Linked DNA regions of Drosophila melanogaster. The protein of the gene in region 1 interacts with the protein of each later gene in a pairwise test. Each region holds a gene or a part of one and is shown on either strand. Other genes may lie near its edges. The genes, in order: CG12728, CG4218 and CG8507.

What was found.
Region 2: the proteins of CG12728 (region 1) and CG4218 interact in a two-hybrid assay, tested with the Drosophila melanogaster proteins (one large-scale study listed by BioGRID).
Region 3: the proteins of CG12728 (region 1) and CG8507 interact in a two-hybrid assay, tested with the Drosophila melanogaster proteins (one large-scale study listed by BioGRID).

Annotation. Positions count from the first base shown.
Region 1 is NC_004354.4:5,941,038-5,945,824, reverse strand, and holds CG12728 (uncharacterized protein), read right to left. Parts: upstream 3,220-4,787; 5' UTR 3,143-3,219; coding exon 2,984-3,142; intron 2,923-2,983; coding exon 2,737-2,922; intron 2,671-2,736; coding exon 2,532-2,670; intron 2,449-2,531; coding exon 2,214-2,448; intron 2,153-2,213; coding exon 1,438-2,152; 3' UTR 575-1,437; downstream 1-574. Other genes in the region: CG32756 (uncharacterized protein), read right to left, coding at 1-64; CG3726 (uncharacterized protein), read right to left, coding at 4,421-4,476, 4,554-4,660, 4,729-4,787.
Region 2 is NT_033779.5:14,546,927-14,550,721, forward strand, and holds CG4218 (uncharacterized protein), read right to left. Parts: upstream 2,184-3,795; 5' UTR 2,028-2,183; coding exon 1,725-2,027; intron 1,660-1,724; coding exon of another isoform or gene 1,639-1,659; exon of another isoform or gene 1,489-1,638; intron 1,329-1,488; coding exon 941-1,328; intron 887-940; coding exon of another isoform or gene 870-886; coding exon 715-869; 3' UTR 572-714; downstream 1-571.
Region 3 is NT_033777.3:9,789,573-9,793,641, reverse strand, and holds CG8507 (uncharacterized protein), read right to left. Parts: upstream 2,160-4,069; 5' UTR 2,073-2,159; coding exon 1,851-2,072; intron 1,797-1,850; coding exon 1,581-1,796; intron 1,519-1,580; coding exon 1,308-1,518; intron 1,247-1,307; coding exon 885-1,246; intron 830-884; coding exon 701-829; 3' UTR 544-700; downstream 1-543. Other genes in the region: CG8516 (uncharacterized protein), read right to left, coding at 48-190; CG12945 (uncharacterized protein), read left to right, coding at 2,552-2,803, 2,871-3,116, 3,182-3,322, 3,377-3,504, 3,558-3,688, 3,761-4,069.

The DNA.
Region 1 (4,787 bases):
GCTGCCCCTCAGTGCAGGCGAACAGGTGCTGCAAGCCATTTATATTCACTACTTTCAATAGCATTTTGAAGTTACGTTTAGAAGGATCAGAAATCAAAGGAAAGAAACATCACTGACGCACGCCGTAGAGATGAAAAAGAATCGATAGTACCGTCTAGGTATCGAATTCTTACCAATCTATCGATTGTTCTTTGGCGGTAACGATGGTGATGTATAAAGATTCCCAACAAAAATGGGATGTAACTCTATACCTATTTGAACTAACCATTAGAAGTATAAATCAAATATACTTTATAACAGCATTATATTATATATTATAATGTTATTATATTATTATAATATGAAACAAGTAGTACCTAAACCTTTATGTGTTCACGCCACATCAACAGAGTCTGAGCGTAGGCTGGACGTATAATAGGTAACCGCAGGGCTTTCCTTAAAACGATCAATGCTGAAATACTTTTTCTGCAGGGAAATGCATGGATAGAATGCCTGTGCGTATTTCAATTAACTAATCCACGCGGTTGTATTTATAGACATGTATTTATATTATATTATATATTATAAGATCCTAAATGTGTAGATCAGTTATAGTTGTGACCCACCGATGGGAACAACACATTATTGTGGGAATTCAGGGTTCAGGAAAGCATTACTCAGGATCCAAAACTAGCCTCGTCTAGCTGTCTTTCATCCTTCTGTTGTAATCCTAGATCAGCCTGAAAAGGCTGAAAGCTTCTAAAGCAAATGGGATAAGGCAAACTTTAAAGATTATTTATTCAAACTGCAAACGTTTCTTTTTTTATCAATTTTATTAGTAATCGTGCCAAAAAATATTTAACATAAAATGCATTGATCAGGAGGTTATAACCGCTGGAAAGCCCTGACTAATCGGTCGATAATTGACCAGAAAATTTCCGGGCAATCATTTTGACAAATTTTAATATTATTCGATATGTTCCATAGAGATAGGAGTTAGTTGCTGCTTCTATGCAATGGAACTCAACTTGTTTGTGTACTGAGGGTGTTTTGGTAAGACGTTTTAAAATCTACAACACTATACATTGTTTTGTTTCATTTGATTGCTGTTCGATGGACTTAGGTACGAATACCTAATCAACAAATGGAATCATGTCTTTATCCTTTTATCACTGAGGATTTGTGTTTGTCAACTTGTTTGTGTACGTGTACTGAGGGTGTTTGATAAGACGTCTTTTTAATATCTACAACACTATACAGTTCTTTGTTTCATTTGATTGCTGTTCGATGGACTTAGGTACGAATACCTAATCAACAAATGGAATCATGTATTTTATCCTTTTATCACTAAGGACTTGTTTTTATCTAAAAAAAAAAAAAAAAAACAAAAAAAAAAAACGTATGTACTAAGTGTGAAGTTTTGCTTGTAGCACCATTTAGAATGAGATCGTTTCCAAATTATTTTTGCGCTAACTTATTGATATAGCTCTGGATCGCTTTTTCGATGCGTTCAGTTGAGTAAATCAGTACGGCTTTGATATCTTCCAGCACAGTTCGAAGAATTAAATCCCAATTCTGATCGGACTTTCCGACTTTGGGTTCTTGGATGAGTTCCCTTGGGGCATCGTAAAACTCTTTTAAAGATTCAACCTTCTTTATGACGAAATTGAAAGCGTTCGATGCCTCCCTAGTGACCTCTTCATATTCAGAAGAAGCATCCTCATCTTTAGAAGAAGTATCCTCATCTTTAGACGGAGCATCCTCATCTTTAGAAGAAGTATTCTCATCTTTGGAAGAAGCATCCTCATCTTTAGAAGAAGCATCCTCATATTTAGAAGAAGTATCCCCATTTTTAGAAGAAGCATCCTCATCTTCAGAAGAAGCATACTGTTCCTGAGATGCAAGTTCATATACACCACTTCCGACGGTTGGATTAAATTTGGTTAGTTTGGCCGACCATCCTTGGGAAAGCCCCGAAGATGTGGATGACTCTTCGTCATCATCAGTGAGATCATTCTTGGTGTCCATTGGCGCTAGCTCTACTTTTAAGATTAAATTTACGTTTGTCTCTTGGGAACTCTGCGAGCTTTTGTACTCGACAAGCGGATTGGAGCGGCGCTGCATTACCTTGCGCTCCATATGATTGGTATTGATTTCAAGAGCCTTGCGCTTCCTGCAATTGCGAAAACATATCTTATTAATCGGTAAATGTGAACACATTGTACCAATCCCACCTAATGCGAGGAGCTTCTTTTGGGCTTGATGCCTTCGAAGAAGCAAAGTAGCCGTTTGACGAAGAATAGGGCGCGACATCCCGTGCCCATGGCGAAGAAAGCGATGTCCAATTAGGCGATGGCTTATCAGCAAAAAAAGTACTCTGCGCCTTCTGGTAGGCAGCGGAACAGTCCAGCAATTGCTTGTGCTTATTCATAAAAGCCTCGAGATCAAAGGGCTTGGTTTCCACAGTCACTAAAGAAGGCATAAGGTTTTGCGATTACTAAGCGAATGGAATGGACAAAAACTTTCGATTTGCAAACTTGCTCTTAACTAACCTTTGCGCAGCTGGCATCCCTCGGTGCGATACTGGTTCAGCTCCTTGTCCTTGGCATGGATAATCCCTAGCAGAAGGGGTATCTGAACCCGTAGTCCCAAAGCCGTGGACATTGTGTTCAAGAACATTTGGCTATACAACTTTGGGAATAATGGCACCAATTATTATAGTTCTTGGAACTGATTCTGCTAAAGTCAGTTACTGACCTGTGCGGCATCCATGGGTCTCAGGTGCCATTCCCACTTGAGGAAAACTTTGAAATTCGCCATGGCATACTTCAGTTTCAGGACGTTCAATGGGTGCTGGTAATCCTGTTCGACATGCAATGGATCCTTGTTGAGCAGGACCTGGCGCACCAATTCCTCGGGAAACTTCACACGCGCGTTGAGCGTCTGGTCGAAAAAACGTGTTGCACTCACACTATTTCACCACATGAAAATGCGGAAAACTTACTTTCAAACGCTGCTGGTAATCGCGTTTCATCAAAGTCTCGGAGTAAGTCCACTTCTCGCGAGGACGGAAAACGTGAATAGTTAGGGTTTCATCATGCTGCCCCTCAGTGCAGGCGAACAGGTGCTGCAAGCCATTTATATTCACTACTTTCAATAGCATTTTGAAGTTACGTTTAGAAGGATCAGAAATCAAAGGAAAGAAACATCACTGACGCACGCCGTAGAGATGAAAAAGAATCGATAGTACCGTCTAGGTATCGAATTCTTACCAATCTATCGATTGTTCTTTGGCGGTAACGATGGTGATGTATAAAGATAACAAAACTGGGATGTAACTCTATACCTATTTGAACTAACCATTCATAAATCAAAGATACTTTATAACAGCATTATATTATATATTATAATATTATTATTTTATTATAATATGAAACAAGTAGTACCTAAACCTTTATGTGTTCACGCCACATCAACAGAGTCTGAGCGTAGGCTGGACGTATAATAGGTAACCGCAGGGCTTTCCTTAAAACGATCAATTCTGACATACTTTTTTTGCAAGGAAATGCATGGATAGAATAATATTTTTGTGATTTCCTGGTCAATATCTCTTAGTTTTCCTGTTATTCTTGATCCCCTAATTAGTTTTTTAATATTTTTAATATTTTTCGTGGCTTGTTAGAAGGAAATGAAAGAAATAATTTTGATATCTTGTATATTGAGTTATAGCATTAAATATATAAATTGTTAATAATGCCGTTCAGGAAAAACGATAGTATCGAATTTTTGCTCTAAACCCATCGAAAACATCCCACCTCTAGCTCGCAGCAGTTCGTCGGTATCGGGCTTCAATCGGACTGTAAATAGGTATAGGTGACCAACTATATTGGCGCCACAATTTGAATCCAAAGAGCCGTAGAAAGGAAGTACTTGATATCGTTTTGAACATATTTTAATAGATATTACTTTATTTGTTTTAAACATATATTTTTTGTATGTAATACATATTGTTTGTGTTCCTTTTCGTTAGCTTATCAAAAAATTCACTTCACTTCCGTGTTATTTTATCGATTAACTAGATTCCATAGTTTATGGTGTTGAATTTCACTACCAAGAGAAATGTATTTACCACTAAAACCACACGTGTCCGTGCGTATTTCAATTAACTAATCCACGTGGTTGTATTTATAGACATGTATTTATATTATATTATATATTATGTAATAATAAGATCCTAAATGTGTAGATCAGTTATAGTTGTGACCCACCGATGGGAACAACACATTAATGTGGGAATTCAGGATTCAGGAAAGCATTACTCAGGATCCAAAACTAGCCTCGTCTAGCTGTCTTTCATCCTTCTGTTGTAATCCTAGATCAGCCTGTGGCGACGTTTGAGGCTTTTCTGCAGTTTCGTTATGGTTGTGGCATTGGTTGGTCCTCAAATCTGCGGACGTGTCCATAGCTCGCTCAGATCCTTCTTCAGCTTGCCCAGCTCTGCAAGTAGGGATTGGTTTGGACTTAATTCCCCAGTAAGTTGGTTATTTGTCAGCACATTTGTAGATCTTTCTTACCCAGCTGAGCTGGAAGGACGCCCCCGTTGCGGAATCCCAAGTCGAAGCGAGGCTGAACTCCCATCTGACTGGTCGAGGTGGATCCAGAGTTCCGGAAGGCGGTGCCACTATATCGTAATAAAGACGGTGATTTAAAATCTACATACATTCAGTAACTGGAAGCACTTCAACGCACCTGTAAGGATGCTTAAGGCAGCCATAGACCTCGCGGTAACGCCCATACAGAGTGCCATA
Region 2 (3,795 bases), on another chromosome or scaffold:
TGTCTGCGTTGCTTTTAGTGTTTCTACACCCTCCTCAACCAATGTATCACTCCTTCAGTACACTGCAAAAATATAAAGCATGTGAAATTAATGTTTTAAATTATAATGCTAACCACTCTAGCTTTATATATTAATTTTACGAATTTCTTATTGATACCTAATAACCATAAGTATAACATCTAAAGTTACTTTACCAAAGTTAGCAATACAATGTGTAGAGTGACTGTAGTGACAGCTTATGTTCTGTTCTAATATGCAGTTTAAGTTATTTTTTTGAACAGTGCATCATCCGCTCTGTGTCACGACAGGGCAAGATTTATTTTCGGTATTCCATGGGCGACTAAAATGCGCTGTCAGCGCAGCAGTTGCTGCCATACGTCGCCGTCGCCCGGCTATGGTCATGCCTTGGGCTTGGGCCATATAGATACATTAGCTGATGGTGGTCCGGATCCGGACCAAGGGGACCCACAGAGCGATCGTTCCCCCTCATTGCACTTGACACTCGAAATTGATGCGCCACTGCGCCCAAGCCGGGCCACATTAATTAGGCAAAATATTGACACGCTGACGTGTGGTGTTGCCTATTGATTAACGCGTCTTTTCAATGGGATCGGTTTTATTGGATTATTTTTAGTGGGATTTTGGGGGGATTGGTTTGGCTTAGTTTGGATCTTCACTTGTGGTTTTTTGTGTGTGGTTGGCTATTGAAAAGGCCTAGTAGATGGGCTTCCTCTTCGGTGGCAGGTGGCTGGGAATCCTCATGTTGTTGGCGTTGTGAGCTGGAATTTTCTTTGTCTTCCTGCTGCCGCCGTGGAAAGGACGAAGAACGCGTATGATCAACTGCATAAATGCTCCCCAGCGCGCATGACCTAGGGTTTAGATGAGGCTTTGGATTAACCTACATGGGACTGCTCTTTTCGTGGTCTTTTGATGCCCTTACCATAGTCCTGGAAATTGCATTTCCCCTTTGCCATCTTGGTGCTGAAAACCTCTGCCTTCTTATCCACTATCTCCGAACTAGTAACCATATTCGAGAGCAGCGATTTAGATTTCTTAACCCGCGGTGTTTCAGCTACCTCAGGACTATGTTCTGGTACCACATTGCATACCTCAACGATACCAGAGTTGGTCTTCAATGGAGGACGATCCTCCGATTTCATGCCATTTGCGCTGGCGAACCGAGCACAACTCTCCGTGGACTTCTTGAGCAGAAACCAGGATTGCTGGAGAACATGACCTTCTTCGATGAGTTTCTCGTAGCCATTGAGAATGCGGCGCACATCCACGTTGATCAGTTCCTCGGGAACCTCGGGAAGATCGCCAAACTCCTGAAATCAATACAAAAAGTAAATACATAAAATAGTTGCAAAGAATATTTCAAAATTTTGTTGAGCTGCACTTTTTAGTTGCAATTGTATCAATCGACTGTCATATGAACACAACCTTTAAAGCCCTTAATCGCTTTCAGCATTCCAATAAAACATTTTTGGGTTATATACAATTTATTTAAATATTAAGTATTTCACGCTGAAAGACAATCCAGGTCTGAATCCAAAAATGTTCGTCAGTATAAATCCAATATATCCTCATATAAAAGGTTTGCAATTTTTCAAATGACAAAAGTAACACTTAAATGAACTACTTGTCAATTAAATTTTGCTATGAACGTAGTAGTTTAGGGTAATAAGATTAAGCAATAATTATTGATGGTAATGCAAACCCACCTGCGAGTTCTTCCGCAGATCTTCAAAGCGCTGAATTAGCTTCTTGATATTAAGACTGCTCTTGGAACCCTTGGTGATCCCGGCACCCACACCCGCTGTAGTATTGGTTGTCACATTTTCATCGATCGAATCGGTTGGTAATGTCTCGGATTCCGACCCATCCATACTGGAGGAGCTCATCCTGCTGAGTATCTTGGCCGTTTGCTCCATGAAGGACGCCTGGCGATCGCGTAGCTCCTGCAGTCGCATCTTCAGCTCGTCGAGGTATGCCAGCTGGCGGGGTGTGGGCTGCCTGGTTGCCATTGTCAATTTTGCTATCCCACTTTTAGATTCTTTCGAACATGTGAATGGATCCGAAAATGCTTAAGTTTTCGGTTTTTTTTTTTGGGCTATGGATACTTGTGTTGGGCTTGTCAGACCAATTGTCTCTAAATAAGAGTTTCAGTGCTTAATACTATGACTGCAAAGAGACTGACTACTCGGTTACCGGTTTTATGACAACGCCACCATAGTTTGTAACTAAGTATGCTGTGCATTGGAACCCAAGGAAGTAAGCTATAACCATTCGAATTATTTCTTAAGAGCAAAGACCCTTTTAGCGATGTAACTATTCTATCATATACGTAATTTGATGTAAAGTGGATTAGGGTATTTTTAGAGTATCGCTTGGTCGTATTTCATAAGTTTGGCTCGCTCTTTGGACATGGCCTATTACTCGCTATTTTTATGGGCCCCAAATTGAGATATCTCCTGCAATTCTGGCTGAGCTAACTAAGTTGTAACTGCCCGCTGCCTCACGAAACCGATCCCTCCCCCAACTTTCATTCGCCTGTGGTTGAACAATGGAGCGATGTGGCAAGGACAGTGGGTGCGGAGGGGCAACTCCTGATACACCTATATATCTCTGGTTTAGCGTCTTGGCTGGACTCACCTTTGCGATGCTGCGGGTGGTTGGGGCTAGTTTGGAATTTCACGGAGGAAAACGTGCCGCTGCCATCGGCTGACGCCTACAATGAAGAAAAGGGGGCGTGTCGGCCACTCTGTGACTCCCAGACTGCTGTTGATTTCCCCCGGAGGTGGATACCAACCCCTCCAGCATCCTCCTCCCATGCCAGAGAGTGTGCAATTGTTGTTTTCATATTTTAATGCCTTTTTGAGTTGGTAGGCGTGCCACGACACGATTCTTCTTACCGATAAGCTGTTATTTTTATGGGCCCCCGCCGAATCGGATCGACTTGAAGTGGAGTCGGTGGTGCAGGGTATTGCCGGGTGGAGCCGGGTGGTGCTCCGTGGTGTGCGGTGTGGGCTGGCTGCCGACTTAAAGAAGTTAAAATTATTACACCGCAATTGTCTTGATCGTTGATTTATGTGCGCTTTTGTTGTCGGCTCTCCTGGCTCGCGGCTATGGTTTTTCGCTTTTTATTACTTTTTTGAAGTTGCCAGTTGGCCAACAGGCAAATTTGTGTGGCTGTTGATATTTATTGGGCATGGTCCGGGCATTGGCATCAATTGTGTATGCAACATGGGAAGTTGATTATGCCTCTCATTAGCCACCGTATTTTTTCCTTGTGCACGAAATGGCGACAATTCCATTCCCATGGACATGAAAGTGGCCCATTTGCAGTTTACTAGCACATCGGGTTTGGATAGTAGGTAATTTATTTTGCTAGCATGTCTTTTCGATTACTAATAGTTATTAAAATTACTAAAATAGTTAAGTTAAAATAATAGATTTATTAAAGATCATATTGATCTTGACATTTTTCTTATTTGCGTGGAAGCTAAAAACAGAATTTTCAATGGGATAGCCTTCCATTTCATTTCGAATTAGTCAATGGCTCTTTTCGGCAACTTTAGGCATTCCCTAATTGAGTTCTTGATTCGGCGACTCCACTTCCTCCTCAGCGTTTTTCGGTGAATGTCTGGCCGGTGTCATAATCTCATCGCCTCCTCCGGACCAAGCCCAACCCAATGCGATCCGATCCGAGTCCCATTGTGCGACTCCAGCACGATTAAAGCCAACCGCATTTGCAGCCGCCTTCAATTGCCTGAAAACTTAATGATTTCATCT
Region 3 (4,069 bases), on another chromosome or scaffold:
GAAACGATGTGGATCCTCTGATCCTCTGGGTATTGGGGAGGACTTACTTAGGGATCCGCTTCTTGCAGCAGAGACAAGCGCCCAGCATAACGATGAAAGTGAGCGTCAGGCTGACGGTCGCCAGGAGGTACGTGTACGAATTTGGGGCCTCCAGGTGCAGTTCCGACGTCGACGCCTCCACCATGCCCATGTCGGTGTGTGTACATATGCACTATGTACCCATAAAGCGCTGGCACCGACCGCTGCACATATATATATTAACTTTTTAAACTTTTCGCTTAGCTAATATTTTCTTGTTTTTTGGCCCACCAAACGAAACGACAACAACAATAATGCGACTGGCATGCGGTCATACTAGGTGCGGTCCTACTGGGTGGAGGGAAATACGCGTTTTGTGCCTGCTATCATATGGTCACACTAATTTTATCGTTTTTTTTAACGGTTTATTCTTAACCCTATATTGTACTTTGAATATATTACAAATTTATTTTTTCCACATTGAATTTTTTAAAGGTCAAAATAGATTGTATATAGTTCAAAATTAAACTTGAGATTTTATTTATGTTCAAATGATATTTGGTATCAAAATTATATCTATGCTGAATAGCAGCAAGAATGAATATTTTTGTGCGTTACACAAACAGTTGCAATTAAATCTAATTTATTCGCTTGGCACTTTCAGTGTTTCACTTTCAAATTATTAAAGCTCGGTGTGCTTGAAGATGGTTTTTTCAATGTTCTCCTGGAGCTTCTCCACTTTGCGAGTTTGCTTCTTCAGCTGATCCTCCATTTCCTCAAAGCGGCTGCTTTTGTCCTTCACTTTTTCGCCCTATAAATAATTGTTAGTTGGCTTACAAACTTGATTGATATTAAGAAACATATACCTTGTATTTCTCCTTTTGCAAAGCATGCTCGGCATGCAAGTGACGCAGCTTTAATAGGCGACTTTCGAAGTGATGCAATTCGGTTTTAATGGACTCCAGTTCTTTAACCGTAAAATTGCTAGCCTGGGCCACTCGCCATAGACCCTGGACCTTGGGTTCAATGAAGTCCTGACTGTGTGGACCGGAGGACACCAGGCGTTCCAGCCTATCGTAGTGATCCTTGATGCCCGTGTGATGTCCTCGCAGAGTGTTAAGGTCGTTCTCGAAACTCTTCACGTTTTGCGCATGGGTTTTGATGTCGTTCTCATTGACATCATTCGAAATCAGATTGTAGGTGTCCAAGTCTTCCGTGTTAATAGCATCTAACGAGAATAATCAATGAAATTAATTGATGCTTTTCGTGCTGTTTTTAGCCAAACTCACTTTCATGCTTGTCGGTGTCTACGGTGCCAATGTTTTCCAGCAAGCTGTAGTACACATCCACTTTATCCTGGTGATGGTCAAACTCCTGTTTCAAGGATTTCAATTCCTCTGCAGTAAATCCGGAAATCTCGGCCTTCTCCCAAAGTCGGTTGAGTTTCTTGTCCTTGAAAAGACTCTTGTTTCTGTGTCGCTCCTCGGCGTCGTGGAATTTCTTAAAGTTAACTTGGATGTAGAGAAACTCTTGCTCTTAGGAAAGATGATTTAGATACGTACCTTGTAGGGCTTAAGCTTCTCCGTATCCTGAGTGTCGTCAAAATGCTCTAGCAGATCGTAGCTGCTCATGATGCCAATGAGCTTGCGGCGCAGTTCGTCGGCCTTCAGCCCGTCTTTGTCCTTGTGCTGCGAGTTGAGCTGCTTCCAAGCGATCTCCTCCTTATCGTGGATCTTGAGTTCCATGTACAGTGACTTGAGCTTGGGCTCTGTTAAGCGCTGTAACCGAGGTTAGTACGGTTAAATATGAGATATCTTATGGTGTCCACTTACATTCTGCGCCTTGGCCCACACGAGATTCAACTTGGCCATGCGAAATGGCCGCTGGATGCTCTTAAAATCCGGATCATACTTCTCCTGCTTTACTTGCTGAAAATGCGGGTCGTTGGCCTCCTTGCTGTACTTCTTGCTCTGCTTTTTGTCGGCATCCACGCCCTGCAGTGCAATAAGTACGGAAAGTGCGATGGCTGCAACAACGAGAGCTGACCTAACCATTTTCCTCGTGGTTTTTATTTCGGTTTTAAAGCTTGCAATTATTGGTGCAGTGCTGACCTGGCTAAACAGTTATTCACAACACGCAGTGTGGCCATCTAGCGATCGCATAAAGCTTTGGTGCTGACAGTCTAGCTTTTATTTTATTTTAATGCTTTGTTTTTCGCAGTTACGATTTTTGATCTTGGTCAATTTACAACAATTTGTTTGATTTATTTGATAAAGATGTTTAATAAAAATAATTCAATTTGCAGTAGAAGTGAAGAAAAATCATAAAAGCATGTTTGTCTAATAAATATAAAGCTACATTTTCCTGAAGTGATAAGTAGATATTGCAGCACTGACGTGACGCTGTGATGTTGCTAACTGGACTTGGTCACACTGCCAATTTGCATCAGCCGCCTTACCACGAAATTGCGCTGAATTATAATTATTATCGAGTGCTTACTACCTAGGAGTGATTACATTGAGAAACCAGGACAATGAGAACGGAGGCAGCGGTCAGTTGTTTCCTGTTGGTATTGCACAGGGTATGCTGTCAGAGCGGCAACGATGAGTCCTGGCTGAGTCCGGATCCCGCCTGGTCGGACCTGGTTAACGATATCAATCAGCCCGGTGAATTGTGCCAGTGTCCTACGTGTCCAGATGTGTCTCCAGTGGCCATGGAGGATGCCGTGGCACTCACATACTTCAAGAAGTTCGTCAATCTGCTGTTCCAGCGCAAGCGTTTTCAGGTATGATCGCTGTTTAGACCAAAGTTGGCGACATGACGTCATATGTGTGTAACTTTTGTGTAATTAGTACGATGTTATGTCGGCGGTCCATAAGCGATCGCTGCTCTTCTCCCTGATCCCATCGCAACTGGATGAACTGGAGAGGGTGCAGGATGCTCGGGATTTGGACGTTTTGCTGACTAAGATATTGGAGAGTGCCGAGGAGGCTCCTTTGTTTAATGGAAGATCCGGATGCTCATACGTCCGACACGGCTTTTTCTCCTTATTGGTGGATATTTTCAAGGATGTAATTGAACTGACGCAAACGACCGAGGTACCTGTTGCGCCTTTTTATGGAAACTTGACTATTTGCTATTTAATGGGTTTTCTCATTCCTAGGTGAAATTTATCCTATATGCAACATTAGCAATTGCACTTGTCGTCATTGTGCACAAACGTTTCCGTGTCGGACTAATTTCAATTGTACTAGGAGGCGTGTTTCTGTGCGGATATATTCAGACTTATTTAGAATGCAACAGAGTAGGTCTAGCCTGAAAGTGTGTGAAATTGTGCTCATTATATGTTTATAATTAGGAATTAGACATCGATAGGATGATAGAGGTCGTAAATCATCACCATGAGCCTGAATCGTCCTGGTTTGGTCGACTGTTAGGCTACATATACCAAGCCTCACCAAAAACTAAGAAGATAGAAATGATCAAGTAAGACCATAACATATAATTAAATAAGTCGATTGATGATCGTTTCCATTCAGAAAATCCGCAAAAATCAGCATTTCCATTTGCATGCCAGATCAAGTGTTCTTTATGTACATGAATAACATATTTATCAAGCAGTTGGAAATCATGATAGAAAAGGTGTCGGTAACTATGACTAAACTGTCCTGTAAGTATTTAACCAAGAATTCGCACAGTCAATAATTACCACTTACCACTTAATTACCATATTTACCCATAGCCGGATTATCCTTCCCGTATAACCTCCTTGCACCAGTCCTTTTGGTGTTTTTAGTGGGTTACACCATAAAGCTGTGCTTTAAATACATTTTAAGCCCCCGAGCATGGGCGTCACTTTTACACAAGCCAGCGCCACAAGGGACACCAACGATTCACCAGTCCATTAATGCACGGGCGCCCGAAGGCGACTCCATATCGGGCGACAACTTAAAGATGCTGCTAAATGTAATTAACGTGAGAAATGTTCCAAAGGAGTCGCTACAGCGAATTCCAGACGTTTCGGGCGTCCAAGAGCTAGAGGAAAAGCAGG